3 linked regions of the Caenorhabditis elegans genome follow. The protein of the gene in region 3 interacts with the protein of the main gene of each other region in a pairwise test. Each region holds a gene or a part of one and is shown on either strand. Other genes may lie near its edges.

What was found. Proteins that work in one complex are often made in the same cells at the same time.
Region 1: the proteins of Y41E3.7 (region 3) and ZC239.16 interact in a two-hybrid assay, tested with the Caenorhabditis elegans proteins (one large-scale study listed by BioGRID).
Region 2: the proteins of Y41E3.7 (region 3) and C17E7.4 interact in a two-hybrid assay, tested with the Caenorhabditis elegans proteins (one large-scale study listed by BioGRID).

The regions. Positions count from the first base shown.
Region 1 is NC_003280.10:3,223,084-3,229,426, forward strand, and holds ZC239.16 (BTB domain-containing protein), read right to left. Parts: upstream 2,237-6,343; 5' UTR 2,203-2,236; coding exon 2,092-2,202; intron 2,044-2,091; coding exon 1,687-2,043; downstream 1-1,686. Other genes in the region: ZC239.15 (BTB domain-containing protein), read right to left, coding at 462-667, 710-821, 1,135-1,404, 1,450-1,560; ZC239.17 (Potassium channel tetramerization-type BTB domain-containing protein), read right to left, coding at 2,399-2,797; srh-297 (Serpentine Receptor, class H), read right to left, coding at 5,802-6,032, 6,260-6,343.
Region 2 is NC_003283.11:3,888,831-3,896,259, reverse strand, and holds C17E7.4 (BZIP domain-containing protein), read right to left. Parts: upstream 3,407-7,429; 5' UTR 3,402-3,406; coding exon 3,324-3,401; intron 3,274-3,323; coding exon 2,638-3,273; intron 2,192-2,637; coding exon 1,915-2,191; intron 1,870-1,914; coding exon 1,766-1,869; 3' UTR 1,687-1,765; downstream 1-1,686. Other genes in the region: sre-9 (Serpentine Receptor, class E (Epsilon)), read right to left, coding at 350-507, 1,202-1,299; C17E7.12 (uncharacterized protein), read left to right, coding at 4,254-4,372, 5,041-5,185; C17E7.9 (uncharacterized protein), read left to right, coding at 5,399-5,598, 6,014-6,097, 6,155-6,281, 6,329-6,500, 6,553-6,634, 6,685-6,877; C17E7.13 (uncharacterized protein), read left to right, coding at 7,007-7,191, 7,236-7,401.
Region 3 is NC_003282.8:15,012,346-15,020,541, reverse strand, and holds the start of Y41E3.7 (Golgi resident protein GCP60), read right to left. Parts: upstream 6,508-8,196; 5' UTR 6,499-6,507; coding exon 6,390-6,498; intron 6,342-6,389; coding exon 6,274-6,341; intron 6,224-6,273; coding exon 6,153-6,223; intron 5,288-6,152; coding exon of another isoform or gene 5,206-5,287; exon of another isoform or gene 5,046-5,205; intron 637-5,045; coding exon 520-636; intron 1-519. Other genes in the region: qars-1 (putative glutamine--tRNA ligase), read left to right, coding at 7,366-7,614, 7,686-8,021.

The DNA of each region.
Region 1 (6,343 bases), on a different chromosome or scaffold from region 3:
TGCATCCCGAATTATCCGTCCGCCTCGATTAATTCGAAGATTGTGCGGAAATTGACTATAATATCCATTCTCGGTAGATTTCCACTTTATCCTAGCTTTCCATTTTCGAGAAGGTTCGTCTTCACTCAATCGCTCTTAATCGATTACGGTAATCAGACCCTTTCACATTCAAACATAGTTTTGAATAATCCATCACATTTTATTAATGTCGGTCTTGAAGTTTTAAAAATAGTTCCGCCGATGTCTAGTTTAACAACCTTGTTCATATTTTAAAATAGTTACGGTTTGAGGCACAGATGCAACCAAACTCAAAAAATAAAAATAAGAATGTTTGTTATCAATCAGACTTTGAACTTATCCATGTGTTTTGTGTTTAAAGATAAAAAAACAAGCTTACTAAATTATAATTTTTTAAGCTTCTAAATTAGAAATATTGTCGAAAAATCCATAAAATAAGTTAATTATCTATTCCTCTGCTTCTTCAAATACTCATCAAACTCCCCGATCATTTTTTCCAATCGTTCCAAAAATGTTGCATCCCGTATTATCCGTCCACCTCGATTAATTCGAAGATTGTGTGGAAATTGACTGTAATATCCATTCTCAGTAGGTTTCCATTTTATCCTTGCTTTCCATTTGCGAGAAGGTTCGTCTTCACTCAATCGCTCTGAATTGACTATTTTATGAGGATAATGTACAAAAAACTTACGAAAATAAATATCGAACTGATGTGAATACTTTTCCATGAACTCGTAAAGATTAAAGTTATAGGGAATCGACATATCATTCCCAACCATGCAAAATTCAATTATGAGCATTGGCTGTAAAAATTATATGTAGAGCTGAAATTTTTTGAAGAAACTGGTTAATTATTTTATGATTGACAAACGCCATACAGTGTGGCCTTACTATTAGGACTACAGCTTGCACTGGCCTATAGTTTAAGCCACGTCCTAGCCAGGGACTGTGGCCGATAATACAGTCATGGATTGCTCCACTCTCCAATACAGACTGGGTGAACCTAGGGGATGAGTCTAAACTTGAAACCGCAACCTCTAGCTTTCTAGCAGCTACCACTACCGACTGAGATATTCCTATGAATTTGAAAAACTACATTATTTTATCGAAACTCACCTTCTGTTGAACAGCAAGAATTTGAAGAAATTGTTCATCGCTTTCAATAAATCGAAGTTTTATCTTTGGAGCTTCAACAAGCTCAATCTTTGAATTGCACAACTCAATGAGTCCGTCGAGCAAATAGAATTGAGCTTCTACTAGCAGCTCCTTCAGTTTCAATTCACAATTGGGTAGAACCACGTCGCCGTCTCGCATAAAGTTCAGTATCAAGTCGAAATTTTTCGGAGACCGATCAATAAAAATACTCCCAGATTCGTCAATTTTTAGCTGAAAATTTGAAAATTTATCGGGAAATTTTTGGAAAAATCGGACCCCAATGTCACTCTCCAACATAGTTTTGAAAAATCCATTGAACTTTGTTAATGTAGATCTTGAAGTTTTGAATATAGTTCCACCAACGTCCAATTTCACAGTTTCACTCATTTTCGAAGAGTTTTCTAGGGGAGAAAAAGAGAAAGATGGAGTAAAATTTTGTTATCAGTTATAAGATTATCGATCAGTACATATTTCAAAATGATTTTTTTTAACAAAAATTAAAATTTCCAACAACTAAAAAAGATAACATTTATTTCTTTTTTCAACAATAAAATAGCCTTTTAGTGCAGGCATGTAATACACAAACACTAAAACCAAAAAAATTATTGAAAAAACAAAAAACCATGATAAATCATATTTTTTAGTGTTTGCTCTTTGATCAATTTGGACCTTTTTTGTAGAATTAAGTTTATCACAGCACATTAAGACTAGACCATCCAACCAGTAGAATTGAGCTTCTGCCATCAATTCTCTCAGCTCTCTTTCATCTTCTGGCAGTGGCAGATCACCATCTCTCATTAAATTCAGAATCAATTCAAAGTGTTTCGGGGACCGATCTATGAAAATGCATCCGGTTTTTTCAATTTTCGGCTGGAAATTTTCACGTTTTTTTTTGGAAAAAAACAACGATTTTCATACCCCAGTTTTGCATTCCAACATAGTTTTGAAAAAGCTATGGAACTTTGTTAATGTATCTTTTGAAGTTTTGAATATAGTTCCGCCAACGTCTAGTTTAATAATTTCACTCATTTTTGGAGAGTTTTTGAAAAAAATTGTAGAGGAGAAAAAGAGGAAAGTGAAATGAAGGTTTGTTATCAGTGAGTCGATCGATTTGAAGTTATCAGTGTTTTCAATTGATTTTTTTCCATACTATAATAGGTTTACGTTCGGGTCTGTTCACATTTCTATGATAGCATAATACAATGAAAATTGCGTTTAATAGCCACTAAAATAGGTAGCATTTACTAGATTTTTCAACAATAAAATAGCTTTTTAGTGCAGGGATGTAATACACAAATACCAAAAAAATTAATGAAAAAACAAAAAAACGAGTATAACTATTATTTTTAGTTATTGGTTTTTGATTTTGAATCATTCGGAAGTTTATTATAGTGCTAAGTTTCACACCGCACTTATTGTACAGTCCAAACATCTGATAGTAATTTGCTTCCGCACACAACTCTCTCAATTCCTTCTCAGTTTCGGGCAACCACAGATTCCCATCTCTCATTAAGTTCAGAATTAACTCGAAGTGTTTCGGGGAACGATCAATAAAAATGCATCCGGATTTTTCGAGTTTCGGCTGAAAATGTTCAGGTTTTTGGAGAAATATAGTCAGCAACATTATACCGCAATATCACTTTCAAACATAGTTTTAAAAAAGCTATCGAGTTTCGTTAATGTATCTTTTGAAGTTTTGAATATAGTTCCACCAACGTCTAGTTTAATAATTTCGCACATTTTTTGGAGAGTTTTTAAAAAAATTGTGGGGAAGAGAAATGAAGAAAGTGAGATGAAGTTTTGTTATCAGTAAGTCTATCGATTTGCAATTAACAGCCATTTTTATATTTTTAACAAATTTTAGGAAATAGTGGCGGTGGAGTTTTTTTCAAGACATGTATAGAAAACTTTCCGATTTCCGCTTTTGCAAATTGTGCAAAATTTCTGAAGGAATTTTTATAAGAAAAAACGGATGACACATATTTTTGACATTTTTTCTCGTTTTCAGCAAGAATTCTAATATATTTTTTCTCATTTTTCATGTAAGATACGTGTAATTTTGCAGTTACAACTGAAATTTCAAAATTTCCAATAAAAAATGCAATACCTCAGTCGAAATTTTTCGGCAATTGAAGTTTTTGGCAGCTTCACAAAAAATTGAAAAATTTCCCATATTTTTTGAAACCAGCAGTTTCCGAAGATTCCAATTGCCAAAAATTTTCAAAACACTACAGTTTAAAATTGGGGTTATAACTTCATTTTTTTTTGTTTTTATAATCATACAGTGTGGGAAAGTTCTATAGGACCCCCCCTAATTTGAAGGTTTGAGGAACTTCCGAAAATTTTTTCGAAAAACTGCTAATGCCGTTCGTTTTTAAATTGAAAAAAACCTATATAAATTTTTTTCCAGAAGTTTATCTCAAAAACTGAGGTCGCGCTGGAAAAAACGTCAAAATCCAGTGTGAAACTTCTATAGGACCCCCCGTTTTTTTTCACGATTTTTACTAAAATCAACAGATTTTGGAATTTTTGACAAAGCTCAAATCAAGTTTGAGTTAGAAATGAGTTCATATAAGCAGTTTTGACTTTAAAAAATTAATACGAAATGTTCTCGTGGGATCTCCAGACTGGTTCTGATTCTTCCGATCTTTGATGTTCAAGTCTGTTTCAAGCTTCCTGGTGCTCTCGGTAATGCCAAAACTTGATAAACTCTCTTTAACAAGTTCCTACTAAAATTCCTAGCACGCACTTTAGATGTTTCGACTGTGTAGTCAAGCTGATTTGGCAAAATATGCAGCAGGAAACAATGGAAGGCTTATCAGGAATCAAATCGTTTTTCTTTGATTACAAGGTTCCATGGGACCAATATTTCAAGTTAAATTGTCCCTCACAGATGTTATTTACTATTTTTTGCGTGAATTATTAAATGTGGAATTGTGGCATGTGTTGTGGCACACATATAGAGGCTGGAAAGCTTACTTCGAAAGCAGTCTAACTTGCAATGCCTCGAGGATCTGCCCTTTCGGACACTGAACGCGCTCAGCTGGATGTTATGAAATTGCTCAATGTGTCCCTGCATGAAATGAGTAGGAAAATTTCCCGTTCTCGACACTGTATTCGCGAGTATCTGAAGGATCCGGTGAGCTACGGTACATCTAAAAGAGCTCCTCGTCGCAAAGCTCTCTCCGTGCGTGACGAACGAAATGTGATTCGTGCTGCCTCCAACTCCTGTAAGACGGCAAGAGATATTCGCAATGAGCTTCAATTGTCTGCTTCAAAAAGGACCATCCTCAATGTCATCAAACGATCTGGTGTAATCGTTCGTCAGAAACTTCGCCCTGCTCCGTTACTCTCTGCAGACCATAAACTCAAGCGATTGGAATTTGCTAAGAACAATATGGGAACGAATTGGAGTAAAGTGAGAATTTAAAAAAGCAAGAGTGAATAATTAGGATCATTGTTTTAGGTTGTCTTCTCCGATGAAAAGAAATTCAATCTCGATGGGCCTGACGGTTGCCGCTACTATTGGCGCGATTTGCGCAAGGAACCAATGGTTTTTTCGAGACGTAATTTTGGAGGAGGAACGGTGATGGTTTGGGGAGCGTTCACGGAGAAGAAGAAGCTTGAGATACAGTTCGTCAGTAGCAAGATGAACAGCACTGACTATCAGAACGTCTTGGAACTGGAGCTCTCCAAATATCTTCGTCACTACTCCAGAAAAGACTTTAGATTTCAGTAGGATAATGCGACAATCCATGTGAGCAACTCAACCCGCGACTATTTCAAGCTCAAGAAGATCAACCTTCTTGATTGGCCAGCTCGAAGTCCTGATCTCAATCCAATCGAAAATTTGTGGGGGATTCTTGTCCGTATCGTGTATGCTCAGAACAAGACTTACCCAACAGTTGCATCGTTGAAGCAAGGAATTCTCGACGCTTGGAAGTCTATTCCGGACAACCAGCTGAAAAGTTTGGTCAGATCAATGGAGGACAGACTGTTTGAGATCATCCGCACACAAGGAAACCCGATTAACTATTGATCCTTTCTTGATTTTAGTATATGAATGTTCTGTTGTTGATCAAAAATAACTGCAACTTGTTAATACGCTGTTTCTGACTGGTTTCTTGGGGATGGCGTAAAAATGTTTATGGTGTGTGTGCTAGGAATTTTAGTAGGAACTTGTTAAAGAGAGTTTATCAAGTTTTGGCATTACCGAGAGCACCAGGAAGCTTGAAACAGACTTGAACATCAAAGATCGGAAGAATCAGAACCAGTCTGGAGATCCCACGAGAACATTTCGTATTAATTTTTTAAAGTCAAAACTGCTTATCTGAACTCATTTCTAACTCAAACTTGATTTGAGCTTTGTCAAAAATTCCAAAATCTGTTGATTTTAGTAAAAATCGTGAAAAAAAACGGGGGGTGCTATAGAAGTTTCACACTGGATTTTGACGTTTTTTCCAGCGCGACCTCAGTTTTTGAGATAAACTTCTGGAAAAAAATTTATATAGGTTTTTTTCAATTTAAAAACGAATGGCATTAGCAGTTTTTCAAAAAAATTTTCGGAAGTTCCTCAAACCTTCAAATTAGGGGGGGTCCTATAGAACTTTCCCACACTGTATTTCAAATTAAAACAACGTCGTCGCATGTTTAACAGGCGCCAGTCTATAACACCCGAAAATTGAAAGAAACACGTCTCGATAAGGTTTTTGTAGATCAATCATCAAAATCGTGGATATGACTCCGTGAAATGACACTGCAATGAATATCAGGTTGTGTTGCAGTTGTTCATCTTTCACCGGGTCTATCAGAACTCCAACAGCTGTGGGCACAAAGAATACGAGGATGGGAATTGCGATCTGAAATTTTGGGAATTTTGTGTTTGGGGGGTGGTGCGGTGCCTCCTATTCGTGACGTCACGCTCTTTTTCTAACACCCCAGAGGGAAATATGCTTGTGGATGTGTTATATCAAAGGCAACTTTAAAAATTCAGCTTTAAAACGCAAAAAAAACCCTTTGAAATTTTCTATGCTCCGCCTACTCTTGGCTCAAGCTCCGCCCATTTTTTGGCTTGAACATTTCCCACCTGTATATTCAAGGCTTTAATGAATTTCTTTTGCATTCGAAGTGTGTCCCCAGATATTGAAGTCTTTAAGGCTCTATTCATCTT
Region 2 (7,429 bases), on a different chromosome or scaffold from region 3:
CATGACGTCACACGTATCGTAGAGTAAACTTGTGTGACGTCATTAAATTTAAATTATTGTAAAATATCGACCAAGGTTACCGAAAAATAAATGTTTTTGTTTGTAATGTTCAAATAATAATATAATTCTTGTAAACATAAACCAAGAAAAAAAACAGAATGTTTATAGAAAATAGTATAAGAAGCATTTAGATTTAGGTCGTGCTTTTATATATAGGCACCAAAACGCCTTTCTGCTTAACCTTAAGTTTTTAGGCAGGCGACAGGTTTTAGGCAGGCGTCAAGCCCTTAAACTTGTCTACTACTCCTACCTAGATCAAAGCAAATGATGTTCATGCAATGTGACTCACCGTCCAAACCTTCCCTCAAAATGATGAATGGCTGAATTACCCAAAAGCTTAGTTGAATCAAGTATTGTCCGTAATAGAAAGCGTTGATAATTCGAAAATTTGGATGCATGTTTTTTGCGGTGAGTATCACTAAGAACCAGAAGCTTATGGAAAGAAAACTGAAAATTTGTAATTGAACAAAAGAAAATACAGTCGCGACAGAACGATCGCTCCGCCAATTTTGCATGCGGCAAAGGGGCGTGGTTTATTGGGGACGGGATTCCGGCGCAACCCTGCGGCACGCTTTTTTCTCGCTTTTTTCGTGCGGTAATTTTCAGCTATTTTTTTTCGTTTTCTGTTCGAAATTTCACGATTTCGCTCGATTTTGTTCGTTTTTTCGCATAAAAAAGTGTTCAACTATTTTTTAAATGAAAAATAACCAAGTTTTCACAGATTTTACCCGAAAAATGCTTTGTTTGTCTCTTTTTTTGTAAATTACGATTGTTAAGAGAGAAAATGGGGGGAAAAAAAGGAAAATGTGAAGAGAAAACGTTTTTTTTTAACGTTTTGCATCGTATATTACAGAAAAAGAGACAAACGAAGCATTTTTTCAAGTAAAAACTGATAAAACTTGGTTATTTTTCATTTAAAAAATAGTTGAACACTTTTTTATCCGAAAAAACGAACAAAATCGAGCGAAATCGTGAAATTTCGAACAGAAAACGAATAAAAATAACTGAAAATTACCGCACGAAAAAAACGTGCCGCAGGGTTGCGCCGGAATCCCGCCCCCAATAAACCACGCCCCTTTGCCGCATGCAAAATTGGCGGAGCGATCGTTCTGTCGCGACAGTATAACGCGGAAACTCATACCTAACAATAATAAGCAAAACTTCAAATATCAAAAACCCCTGGAAAGTATCCCAGCTTCCGACCTGAGCAGCATGGGTTCTGTTAAAGTATCCGAGCATCTCTGGAATTTTTATGAGCAATTTCTAACAAAAGCGAGGTAAAACTGAATAAAAAATATAGTAAAAGTAAATGTAGTTAGGCGAGTTAGGCAATGTTTGGCCGATATACATAAATACGAAAAGCGGAAATTATCGAAGACGACCCACACGAATTGTGTCCCTAGTGACGGTGCCCGGCGGCAAAAACAATATCTCTCAATATATTCGCTTTCTGTGAAATCGGCGCGAAAAGCATAAAATCGAATATAACATGAATTGTATTCTAATGGACTTGTTATCCATTGAGGACAGAACGAAATGAGGAGGGAGCGTGAAGAATAGGACGAGAAAAAAAAATCTAATCCCTATAAATTGAGAGTTGTTCGATTTTTTGATTCATCGTTCTTTCAGGACTTACTAGCGGTTTATTAAAATTGAAAAAAATAGAATTGACAAAATACAAAGATATACATTAATTAATAAATAGTTAGTTAGTATTGGAAGCCTGTGGGCTTGAAACAAAATAGTCCTGCTCTTGACGATAGTTTTTGACCTCGTCCTCGTCATCATTGTCGTAGGAATTTGTGGGACCTGAAAAAATGATAGAATGTTTAGAAACAATTTATCAGAACCTACCATTAGAAAAGTTCTTGAGAAAACTGACGTCCGACGGATTAACAAGTGATTCGCCGGCGCCATCGCTCCCGTTTGTCGTCGGCGTGTGGCTCATCGAGCTGCTGCACAGCGAAGATAGGTTCTCATTGTACAGGTAGCTTGGCGGTCCACTATTGAGAAAATCCATGGAACGATGAAATGGAAGTGGCGGGTTGGGATAGGCGAAGCTTCGTGGAGCAGGAAATTGTGGAGTTTGGAATGGAGATGGCAGCATTGGATTTTGGAGATTTTGCATAGACTGAAAATATGTTTTTTGATAATTTAATAATATTGGTGGCCGCTAGCAATCTAGAGGTCACGAGTTCAAGCCCTTCCTCCCAATAGGCTCACCCAGATTGAGAAGTAGAACAATTCATTGTTGGTTTCTACAGTCTTCGGCTTAAACTCAGCTAAAGCTAAATACCAGGGGAACCACCACCCAGAAAAGGTTCCGATCTCTAGTGTCTAGGACACCGTATTTTCTGAAAATGCAATCGTGCCCTAATGGGAAAATTGGGAGTGGCGAGGACCTTTAGAGATGGATGGTGCAGGCCTAGAAGGATATTTGAAATTAACGTGATGGAGCAGGGTGCAGGGAAATAAATCGTTGAATTACCTTTACCCGAGAAGAATTACAACTTAAAATTTTGCAAAGAACTTGGAGCATATATGGTAGGCGAAAAAATGAAGGCCCCGAAACTCTACCTGAAATGCGCCATAGCTCGGAGACATGGTCTGTAGTTGCTCGCACTTGCTCTCCAATTGCTCACATTTTGCCTTATACCGTCTCATCTCCTTCTTGTACTGGTCTCGTTCCTTTTTCAACTGCTCCAGTTGTTGAGCCGACGCCATACAATAGGCCATATTGGACATCACGCTTTGAATGCTTTCTCTCTCCTGTTCATACCGTTCCTGCTTTCGCCTCTCCTCACGCCGTTGTTTTTCCGAATTCTCCCATTTTTGCATGTAGTACCGGCTTTTTCGTTCGAGCATCGCTTCATTATCCTCATCATCACCTTCTTTTTGATCTCTTTTTGCAAACTCCATTGATGAGGATTCCCGAATTTTATGATTTCTAGATCCTCGCTCAAAGTCATCAATTTGGAAATCTTGCCGGCTCGAGCTTGAAGCTCCAAGTGGGAAGGTCCTGGGCAACTTGTTGGATCTACTGTAGGCAGCAGCATTGAAGTCATCACGGCCGCCCGGACAGCTTTGAGGCCCTTTGCGAAGTTTCGGTGCACTTGTCGTGTGATAGGCGGCAGTCGGTGGGAGCATACAATCATCGGCAAAACGGGCGGTTGGCTGACGTTTCAGCGACATTGAGCGTACGCACGGATTGAACTGAAACCGGGGGGAATCGATTGAAATAATATTCGATAAAAGGTACAAACCACTGTGTAATCGTCGTCGTTTTCGTTTTCCTTTCGGGACTTTTTGCCCTTGAAAATTGTTCGAAATAGTCCAGCCATTTTCTAAAAATCTTTTCATTGCTTTTTGTGGAGATAAGCTTAGGAAATTAAAATACATTCTTATTTTTTAAACGGGAAGAAGAGTAGCTGTGAGAGTTTAAAATTCAAAAAGAAAAACTGTTTCAAAAAAAAAATCGATCCGTCCAAAACTAGGTCATCCTTTGCGGGAGAAAGACGAAAACAACTGGGCTCTCCTCTTCCCTCATCTTCTCATTTCCCGCCTACCACTGAAAAGGTCAGAATTCTGCATACACCGTGACGCGCACATGAACAGAACCGCAGTCGCGCGGAGGAGGAGGAGGAGGGAGGTCCCATGTTTGTGTTTTTGCGCGCGCGAAGGAGGGACTATTTGACCCACAACGCGGGCGCTCAGGTTTTGTAATCATTTTCTTTGTTTCTTTTCTGTTGTACTCCTCTGTTGCGGTTTTTTATTGCCACGTGAATAGACAACACTTTTTGCTCAGTTTTTTTTTTTGAAATCTTGAAATCTTGAAATCTTTTTTTGAAAGTTTGAAAAATTATCTCGATTTTCTCAATTTTAGCTTGCGTCTGGTGCCACTCTTCAACTTTTTTTTGAGTTAGAGACTTTCTAGATTTGCAAAATAGTTTCTCAACTCATTAAAATCATTAGGAGTAAAAAAACAAACTTGAGCCGAAATACATGATTCTGAGAATCTAAGGATAAGTACCTAAACTTGAGAAGTACTCCTCTTGTGTTAAATCCTATAATTTTTATAATACGTATATTTGAAATTTCAAACAATGTGACCAAAAAGTGGTGTCAATTTTTCTCCGTATTTTGTTTGTTTTCTACCCCTCATTTCATTCAAACAAATTTTTTTTGCAGCAAAAATGGATAATGTTCTAAACATCAAAAACGAGGAGGACTGGAAATTTGTGCTCCCCACGTTTGGACCAGCTGCCGGAATCACACTTCTCGTTGCTGCCGTCTCCTTCTCCTGTCTGGGATAGTAAGTTTCTTTGTTTTCCTACCGGTGTAATCGCGCGCTAATGAGAAAGTTGAACGACAAGGGGACATGGAAGGGTGCAGCACGTGGTGCCAGGTTGCCCAATCACGGTTTGATCAACAAAAAATGCGGGAAGTTTCCGGCCAAAAAAATGTGACGTCAGCCTGATCTTAACCATACGAAATCAGTTGAGAAGTCTGCGTCTCTTCTCCCGCATTTTTTGTAGATCAACGTAGATCAAACCGAGATGGGACACTCTGACACCACGTGGTGGCAACATATTACGAAACTATGAGATCATGAGAATGCCTATTGACTGGCCCGAAAATATTGGCAGGCCGCAGCAGCGAGAGAGCGTGTGGCAAAGAGAGACGCAGGTCCCTTCGCTACGAGATATTTGCCGTCAGAAAAGTAGGCATTCTCATGATCTCGTGGTTTCGTAATAGAGAGATTACTAAAAAATAGCGCAGTGGTGCATAAATCAAATTTTGACTTCACGGGCACTGAAAAAATCTAAAAATCTTAAACCCCCGAAACACGTGAAATATTTTTTCTCATAAGTGTGACGTCACACTGGAAAGTTCTTCCATGACGTCACACTACCGTAAAAAGAGGTTTCTATTTATTCTAGAAATCCCATTGAAAGCATGTAATGTAAAATTAATTTTCAGTCATTTCTACCGAAAACGCCAAGCCGCCATCGAGGAGTCCAAACGTCAGGGAGCTGAAAACCGACAGATTCACGAGAACATGCGAAGAGAGCGAGAAGCCAGCATGTCGCCACAGGACATGCCTATTGAGATGCAAAATTTCTAATTGTCACTTTTTTTGAATTCTAATCTTGAAATATAATCTTGATCTCAAAATTCTTTGTTCACAAATACTTCTTAAGTTGTGTATGATGTAAATTTGATTGATTTTTGAAATTTGCGATTCCATTTTTCATTAATTTTAACCAACGACAGTTTGATCTGGAACATACCTATGATCTATGACCAATTTTCTTATTGTTTTCATATCAATTTTTAGATGCGCTGGCTCGTGTGGCTCAGTCTGTTCCTGCTCCCCATCGCTACTTCGAAGGTTACTCAACAGGAGGCGAAACCAACATTCTGGCATTCGGATCATGTGTACGGTCACATCGCTGAGTTCTTCTGGTGCCGAACAAAGAAAAAGGCCGAGGAAGCAGGCGAGCTTCTTGGTCCAGTTCGACAGGCTCTTTTTGAACAGTGAGTTGGGTTTTGAATTAATCCATGATCGTCAGGCTACCATATTATTTGAGGTCCTTATTTTGACATTACCTCTAGAAAATTACATTCAAAATTGAATTTTTCAAAATTTTGACTAGGTCAGGTTTCAGTAGACCTTCTTGGCTAAAGGTCTAAAAAGGTTTACCAACTTATAGGTCATTTCCTGGGGTAATTTCAAAATTAGGACTCCAATTAATATCATGGGCTGACATCTGACGGGTTCCCAGCTCACTACGAGGTAATCTTAGTGCGGAGCAGAACCCGGTAGATGTCGGGCCATCAAATCATTTGGGGTTCTTATTTTGGCATTACCTCTAGAACATAACCCTAAAAGTGAGATTGTCCCAAGGAAAATTTTTTATTTCAAGTCACGGGTTTCTAGCCTTCCTCACTGAATTTTCCGCGCTCCATTGACAATCGCCTGCCGGACAACGCGTGGGAAAATCGTGTACTCCACACGGAGAGATAATTGTCTGGCGTAGGTGTTCCAAAGTTTGCCTAGAGTCTTGATCAACAGCACACACACATTTTTCAGAGGCAGTGCGCTCAATGAGATGCTGCGAGCGGAGAACCGAGGTGAAAATTCGCAGGTCATCGTCGAGATGGTTGTTCTGCAAGAGGAGGAGAAGTACAGAGACTGGGACCCGATTTGGATTCGAAAGGTACCGCCTAACTGTTCAGCTTGATAAAACTGTGTTTCCAATTTCAGAAAGAGCCGTATGGCTTCTCGCGTATTCGAATTTTCATCAACGAGCCGTCGGACAGCGAGGTCAGCAAATTCTGCAAAACCTGGCCATATCCGACGACTGGTTTCCCGACTTTGGTGGCAATTAGCGAATTCTTCTATGCTCCCGTGTTGGTTTGCCAATTTGGAGTTCCAAGTTAGTGAAGAATTTATTTTCCTCAATACTTTAGAAAATAATAATTTTTTAGCGTGCGATCTTGGCAAGATGCTCCTTATCATTTGGATCATTGTTACTTTTGCCATTGCTTTCTGCGTCATGACTTGCTCACTGTGAGTATTTTGATTCAATACATATATGAAACCAACATTTCAAATTTTAGGTGGAACTCTGAAATTCTGGTACTGAAAAAAACGGAAGATTCAAGGCAGTTTGGAATGCAAAACTTGGCTCGCGAGAACGTTCATGAAGGCCTTGCGGACGGAACTCAGGTCACTACAACCGTATTCAGAGGCCCACGAGAAAATGAGGGAAGAGTCGTGCTCAATCGCGGCTGCAAGCCAATCGTTCGCTGAAACTAGTACTTATCAATTTGTGTGTATTTATATTTATGTATGTGTTATTTCTCTCTCTCTCTCTCACTCACCTTCTTATCAGTTTGCGTGTGTACTATTACTATTATATTGTGTTCACTTCTTATTCATATGAAACTTTTCCAAGTTCTTCTCAGTTGTACTATTATTCTACAATTCTCAACTCTAGAGTACTCCCGCTTTGGAAAAGTTATTGAAGTTCATTTTGAGATAATTGATGTTAAAACTGGACGGCAGGAATTCCAATTTTCGAACAAAGCAGATGCTAGAACTTTCAGACAAATTGCTCATGCAAAGTAGGATTATTTTAAATTTGATGTTACTTTTACCAGAAATTCAGAGCATTGATGATTCTTTACTGGCAGCAAGTTGCCGAGGCTGAGCACAGAGTTTCAGAAAATTTAAATTTAAAATTAACAGTCAGATGGATGAACTGCTCTGTTCTGGATATGTACGCAAACCGGCTGCCCATGGAGAGATATACAGTTTCCGAGAAAAATCGAGAGGTATGTAGGATTTGGCGAGAATTCAAGA
Region 3 (8,196 bases):
AGGTCTAACAATTTATTTTTAATGTTTTTAAAAGTTATAATGGTATTCAATTTTAAAATGTTTTTTGTTTTAAATTTCAAAAAGTACCAGAAAAGGCGCTTCTTTTATCGTTCACAATAAAAAATAAAAATGCCTCTCAGGCTTCAAATAGGCTCTTCGGGGAATATTTTCGTATATCAATACGTTACTTTTGGTACAGAATAAGTCAGGAATTTCAGAGTTACGAAACTATTTCAGTTATTTTCAGTAACATCTACACCGTAGCTCACCATATTCTAGTAATAATTATATATGCTGTCGGAAAAATGCCATCAGAAAATAAAAAAATGAATGATTTTACATCATATCCCTTCTGTTTTCCTAGTTCTAATTCTACTTGTTATTCACTTTTACTCAAATGTTTATTGCCAACAATTTTCTTTTTATTCAATGCGACTATATACTTTATAAGTGATCAAAGTATACGTTTTTAGGGTCAAAAAATTCAAAATTAAAACTGAAAAAAAAATCAAAACTCACATAGCCTTCTTATCGGCAATGAATCCCTTGAACGGCGGACACACACGATCGACGAGGAAGACGAACGAGGCCATCGCTTCGTCGCGGGACAACGAGCCCAGCTCACGCCAAGCTTTGCTGAAAATAAGAAAAAAAAAATTAAGATTAAATACGTAACGGAATGGAAAAAAAACGAAGAAATAACCGCTTGAGCTTCTTTACTTCAAGCTTGGCTATTAGGTTTCAGTTGTTTTTCGATTGGGATAGAAAAAGAGCAAGCATTCGTCATATAATCTCGAGATGTAACACAGAACAACATTCAATTTATCATCATGCGGGACTGGAGATAATGACGTCATGAAAGAGCCCAAGTATGTAATACGTGGCCGTTGGGGAGAGAGAAAACTCGGCCAGGTCACTCAGATTCGCAATTTGGCTCTTTTAGCAGGAAAATTTCGAGCAAACATCGCGGAAAAACTAGATCAACAGATCTAAGAAAGCGGTTTTTGGTACGTGGCCTAGAAAAATCATAAAACTCGGCCGGCCAATCATTGATTTCACACGGCACGTGATGCCAAGCTGTCCCATTACAGTTTGATCTACAAAAAGTGCGGGACATTTTTGCCCAAAAAACTCACGTCAGCACGCTCTTAACTATGCTAAATCAGTTGAGAACTCTGCGTCTCTCTTCTCCCGCATTTTTTGTAGATCTACGTAGATCAAACCGAAATGAGACACTCTGACACCACCGTGTACAGTTGTGACGTCATAAATGTGTTTAATTACATTTTGCAATATTACTTGAATTCCATAAGAGCGGTTTTTGGAACATGGCCTAGAAAAATCAAAAATTCGCCCAATCGTTGATTTTTCACTGTAAGAAGCTTGGCGATTTTTGGGTGGCCGAGTTTTTCTATTTCGCACGGCCACGTAGTAAAACTGCTCTGTGCACTGCATTGAAAGCGAGTGAACAAGAAAACTACAGTAATCCTACAGTACTTTCTGATGATTTCAAATCAAAAAATGAGATTTCTCAACGGAAAAATAGCGAATCCAATGCAAGAATTTCCAGTTTTTTTGGAAATCTTTTTTGGGGCAGAATTTCAAGACCGCCCCGAGCCCAACAATTGGAGCCAATCAAAAAGCGCCCAAGCAGGGAGTAGATCACCAAAAAGTGCTGAAAACTCCATCTCTCTCTCTCTCATGGGGCATGTGACACACCAAACACCTTCTCAAATCTATCAATTACATCTTCTATTCCGCAAAAAAAAAGTGCATGCACACAGGGAAAGAGCCGGAGAAAAGAGCACATCAGACACCCCCGCCAATAGGTGATATCGAAGAAAAAAGGGGAAGAAAAGGAACACTCTTGTGTTATTCAAGGTAGGAAAAGCAGCAAATTTTTCACTCATTTTCCTCTCAGTCAGCTCAAAAAGAGAAAGGATTAGCCGAGAAAGAGAGAGAGGATTTCAGGATTTGAGGAGGAGGAAGAAGCCAAGTGAAGTGCTCAAAAGCTACAAAAACACTTGAAAATTGGGTGGAAGAGGAGGAGACCCTTAATTTGTAAAATTGAAAAAAAGACAAGAATTCCGAAAGTTCATTTGGGTAGTTGGGTTTTACCACACAATTTGATTACCAACTCGTCCAAATTTTGATCTATGACCACTCAGAAAAGGCTTTCAGTTGAGTAGATAGACATATAGTCATAAATCTCGGACAAATAGCCGCTTTTTATAGTCATCTATTTTTTTTTATAGACTTGCAATTATATCGGAAGAGTTGAAGATGTTGAGTAGATCATTTTCTCGTCAACTACAGTAACCCGGCAACATAATAGCTAAGTGGTGTCAGCCTGTCCCATCACGGTTTGATCTACAAAAAATGCGGGAATTTTTCGCCAAGAAAAATGTGCCGTCAGAAAGCTCTTAGTCGTGCAAAATCAGCTGAGAAGTCTGCGTCTAAATACCCGCCATTTTCGTAGATCTACGCACGTGGTGTTAAAGTGTCCCATTTTGGTTTAATCTTCGAAAAATTCGACGCAGGCTTTTCAACTGATTTCGCATGGTTAAGAGTGTGCTGACGTCACACTTTCCTGGAGGAAACATTCCCGCATTTTTTGTAGATCAAACCGCAATGAGACAGGCTCACACCACGTGTCTACGTAGATCTAACCTCGGGCTCAGAGAACCTGGTAAGAAGGAGACAGTGGCCAAAACCTTCTACCGTTGTCAGGTAGGTTCCGATTAGAGCTGTGCGGCTGATGACTCGGCTGATGGAGACAATCAAGTTTTTCAACGTGTTAGCACTGATCAATTAAAGAATATTTGTATTTGCAGTATTGGCTGAGTCATGAGCTTCTTATTCTAGAAAAAAGTTTTTTTTAAAAGTGCACACACCTTGACAAAACAGTCGGCTTTTTGAATCAGCCGAGTAACTCGGCTGTCGGCTGTCGGCTGATTGGAAAAACGAGTTTTTCTGGAAGGGGTGTGCACTTTTTTAAAAACTTTTTTCTAGAATTAGAAGCTCAAGACTCAGCCGATATGGCAAATACAAGTATTCCCTAATTGATCATTGCTATTACGTTGAAAAACGTTGATTTGCTCCATCAGCCGAGTCATCAGCCGCACAGCCCTAGTTGCGATTCCAAACAGCACAAGAACAAAAGGTTGAAAACTTGTCATCCCTGCCGTCTTGTCAAAGAAGACGTTATCTTCTGACAAAAAAAAACGGAAGAAGAAGAAGAAGCCGATGTCGTCTGTCCAACTAGTCGTCGTCCCCACATCCCTTCCAACACCATCATCTTATTAGCATTCCTCGCGTCCTTGTCACTTCTTTTTCCCTTCTTGTTAAGTTAGATTTTTGGGTTGAGGAAGAAGGCGAAGTCCGCCCGGGACGGCGGAGCTACACACAAATTCAATTTTGGCGAATAGAAAAAAAGGGAGGAAGAAGCTTCTTCCCCTCGTCTGTGTGTTTACTCTTACTACTTTTGTACGTCTCTTGGATGGAAAGAAACGGAAAACGTGAGTCAGAAGAACAGACCAGAGTAGCGAGAGAATCCCCACACAAATTTCGGTAGAAAATTTGATTTTCCACAAAGGAAAGCAATCCAACGAAAACAAAACCAGAAAAAAAGTGAACTACTACTAAAGAAACACGAGGAAACGCTGGATATCCTCGTGGGAAAACCTTAAATTTTGCTGGAGGGCGAAGGTGACTTCTCTTCAAAAAAAAGCAAGTGTCATGAGAAAAACACGGAATGGATATCAGCACTTCCTGATTATCAGACACAAGTACTGGAATGTAGATAGACAGAGAAATATGACGTATTTCTTCTTGCAATGAGGACTACATTTTGGTTGTAGAATGTTGATGAGAGGTTCTTCCTTCAAGTAAGTACGGTAGGACATTTTCCCGAAAATTTGACATGATAAGTGGGTCTTGCCACGATCTCAGTCACGTTACGGGTGCACCGCATGGAGTCCGAAAAGTCTTATTCCGATTTGATCTTCAAAAAATGCGGGAGTTGAGACGCAGACATCTCTTCTGATTTCACATGGTTGAGATCGTTCTGACGTCACAATTTTTAGAGGAAAAAATTTTCCGCATTTTTTGTAGATCAAATCGTGATGGGACAGTCTGGCGTCGCGTGGTTTCTGGCTTCCTCTCATAAATTTAAATGAAAGAGTTTGCCGAGCTAGGCCATTTTGGCTCTGCCATATCTGGGCCAGAACCCCGTGAAAAACTCAGAATCCGCACGCAGAAAAAAGTTCCGTAATCAGGAAATACCGTAGACAATTGTGAAACCGCCTCGAAAACAACAAAGTAACAAAACAGAAGGATGTGCCGTCAACTTTTTAACAGACGGAAAAACGAGAGAAATAGGGCAAAAAGGAATGAAAGGAGAGGAAGAAGCCACCCAATTCTCCAGAGATTTCAGTGTTGCTCCTCTTGAGCAGGAGGAGGAGGAGAGCCAAATTGGTGGGTGTAGCTGAAATTTTCGTCGACAAAAGAGGCTGAAAATCAATTTGTGACGAATTCTCGACAAAAACTTCTTTTCTTTTTTGAAAACATGTATGTCTATCTCTTTAGGAAAGAATACAAAATGACTGATGAGTATTAGGAGAGCCGGCTCTTATGAGGTGAGCTCATGATGGATTTGTATCCATATTTGGGGCTTTTTGGCTCAGAGCTCCGAGAGCATCAAAAGTAGAAGACCTTTCGGGCTGCCACGGTTTTCTGGCTTCCCTCATAACTTGAAATGGAAGAGTTTGCCGAACTAGGTCATTTTGGCTCGGGGGTAGATTTACGGCGCGTTGCGTGTCGCGTCGCGGCTCGATTTTAGTTGAAAAACTATGTAAATGTATTTGTCCGTGTGGAGTCCGGCGAGCGATTGTCAATGGAGCGCGAAAAATTCAATGAGGAAGGCCAGAACCCCGTGGGGCTGTTATTCGTCAAAGAACTGAACGAATCCTTGGAAAAAGCCAAAATAACTGGTAGACATTGAACATTCCTTCTCTCTCGAAAATCAAATTTGCACACCGCCTGCTTTTACGATAATTGGCCACACTTGAAAAGGTTCTAAAGAAGGCGTCCAGCAAAAAAAAATATATTTCGGACAGAGGTTTCAAAGAGAAATAATTTCTAGTAGCAAAAGTGAAGGAAGAAGCCGCCGGGACACACAAAACACGTATAAACGTCCCAAATGGATTAGACGAAACAAGACGGCGAGTGGTGGAGCAGGAGGAGGAACACGAATTTGTACTGACGAGCAACAAAGTTCGAAAAATCGCTGAAAACGGCTCTATTTGAGGTGCAAAATTGCCATAAAATAGGTTATTTTGACAGCTTTTTCAGATTTGCTGCTTAATTTCAGAGGAGAAGGCACTAAAATTGGAGGATTTTAGCCTAAAATTTTGGAAAATTCATTTAAAGTTTGAGAATGGCTTGAGGGCGCCAGAAGAGAAGCCTAGAAAACTGAATTTGTAAAAAAAAACTGTAAAAAAATTATAAAATTGGATTTTTTTTCCAACTTTCTGAAATTTTCAGCTACATAGTTTTGCGTGGAAGAATTGTGAATTTCGCCAGAAAACCAGCGTTTTCTCTCTTTTTTGGAGCTCGTTTTCCACTTTTTGTTGATTTTTTTCAATAAAATGCCGATTTTACTTGTCATATTATCTTTTTTTCGAATTAAAATGTTATAAAATTTAATTCTCATAAGATTATAAGGATATTCAGATTAAATTAATTACTAGAATTTAATTGGATAACCTTTTAATTCGATAAAAAAAGAATAAAACTAGTAAAATCGACATTAAAAAACGGTGCCACAGGGTTGCAAAATTACGCCCCGCCTCTTTTTCTGTGCAAAATTCACGGATCGATTCAATTTTTGATCAAATTTCTGAAGAAAAACCGCTAAAAATTAATTAAATCAGAAGAAAAGTTGCCAATTCTCCGAGATTTCTATCCTGGAATAGAATAGGAAATGAAAAACAAAATGAAATTTTTTGGAGATTGCGTCTTCGTGTGTCCTTCTTCTTTTTTTTCTCCAATTTTGTTCATCATTTTCGAGAAATGAGGGTGTGGGGGGAAATTGGAAAAGGAATAGAGTGTTTTCTTTTTTTTTGTTAGAATTTTGATTGAAAATCACCCACTTCACATCGTTTCCAGTGATATCTAGCCATCCAGCGTTGTCAAATTCATCGGAAATCTCTCCATGTTGGACCTGGAATTTAATTTTTATTTAATTTTTGATTTTAAAACTGGAATTTTCACTTGTTTGCTCAACGAGAGCAATTTAATGCGATCTTCATATCCAACAGGCTCCTGTTTCCCGACGTGTTCTGGAAAAAAACTCATTTTTTAAAAAGAATTTTTAAATCAAAAAATACCTTTTTTATAATATTGAACGGCAAGCTTGTAGCATTCCTCGAGAGAATGTCCGAATTCCGACTGAATCAGTTGAACCTCGCTTAGACGGACGTGGTTCTCGTCGGCCATCTCTGAAAATGTGCGAAAATTGATTTTTAAAATGCCAGAGCGCAATAAAAATCAAGGGGAAACTGGAAAGAAAATCAGATAAAAATCAGAAAATGAGAATTGCAGCCGGTTTCTAGCAATTTTCATATGTAATTTCGACATTTTCGGTATAAAATCCATAGAAATTAGATTAAAGATCACAATTCGAAGTAAAAATCAATAAAAAATCCAGATTTTCAGAACTTTTTAATGCAAAAACACGAAGAACAACGCTGAAAAAAATGAACGTGGATCCGATGTGGCACACCATTTTGTGATGTTTTGTGTGTAAACACCGGCACGCGAAAATGCACACTTTTGCAGTTTTCAGCTGCAATTAGCAAGGAAAAGCCTATTTTAAAAGTTTTCCAGTGGTTTTTTGGCTTTTTTAAAATTATTTTTTCCAGATTTGAGGCTAAAAATTTGATTAAAAATATAGAAATATTGTATTTAAACTCAAATCCCGCGAAAAACTCGGAAAAAACTGAAAAATTTAGGGTTATTCGGCTAAAATCAAGAAATTTGGAATTTCTCCAGATGTTTGCAACTTTATCATAATTCCTTATTGTAAAAACTGTTTTCTCACTCAATTATTCAAGATTTTCCCGAGATTCGACGAAAAATCTTCTAAATTCTCCCTAAATTTTGTATTTTCAAGGTTTTTTAGGCTGTTTCAGGAAGCGATTTGCTTTTTTTTCAGTTTTTCTATAGATTGCAACTTTCCGCGAAACTCAGAAAACGGAAAACTGGACTTTCTTTAAAAACATTTATTTTCTAGAATTTTCTTCCGCTTCTCCACTTTCTAACTTCAAATTATTCAAAAAAATTCACAAATTTTCCAGGGTAAAAATGGCAACAAAGGAGGAGCTTCTCTCTTTGGGCCTCTCTGATTCAAAAGTAGCTGAAACGCTGAAAAATGTGAAGCTCACCGAAACGATCGGTTCAATTGTGAAGCTTGCGAGCGAGTCTGGCGAGATTTCCAAGCAAAAAGGAACACTTTTGTACCAGTTGGCGACAAAGTTGAAGCCACAAGTCGCTGCTCACACTCCACTAGTTGTCAAGTATATTATGAATGACGGGATTAAGACAGAGCCACAGGTTTGTAATTAAAATTAAATTTCAAATTAAAAAAAAAACAGCTAAATTTCCAAATTTCAAAAAAATTTCAGCTCTCCGCAGCGATCGAGTATCTTCTCTCGCACACCGTTAAAGGTATCCAAGTGCCTGATTTCGAGAAATCATGCGGAGTCGGCGTTGTTGTCACAATCGACGACATCGAAGCGGCCGTTACCAAGGTGATTGGCCAACACCGCGAGAAAATCGTCGCCGAGCGGTACTCGTTCCCGGCCGGAAAGTTGCTCGGCGAGCTACGAGCTCTGCTTCCATGGGCTGATGGTGCGATTACGAAGAAGGAGGTGGATTTGAGATTCTTGGAGCTGCTCGGACCGAAGACTGCGGAGGATTTGGCTCCGAAGAAGAAGGAGAAGAAGCCGGAAGGCCCGAAAGTAAGGCCTGAAATTCCGTACTGTTCTGAAAAAAATTATTGAATTTAATCTACATTTTTCAGGACTTTTGCCGGAAATTTGGAGGAATTCGCAACCGCCGCACGCTTACTTCGCAAGCCTCGCGCGTTTTCTTTTCAAGAGAAAAAGCGTGCGAGGCTTGCGAAATAAGTGTGCG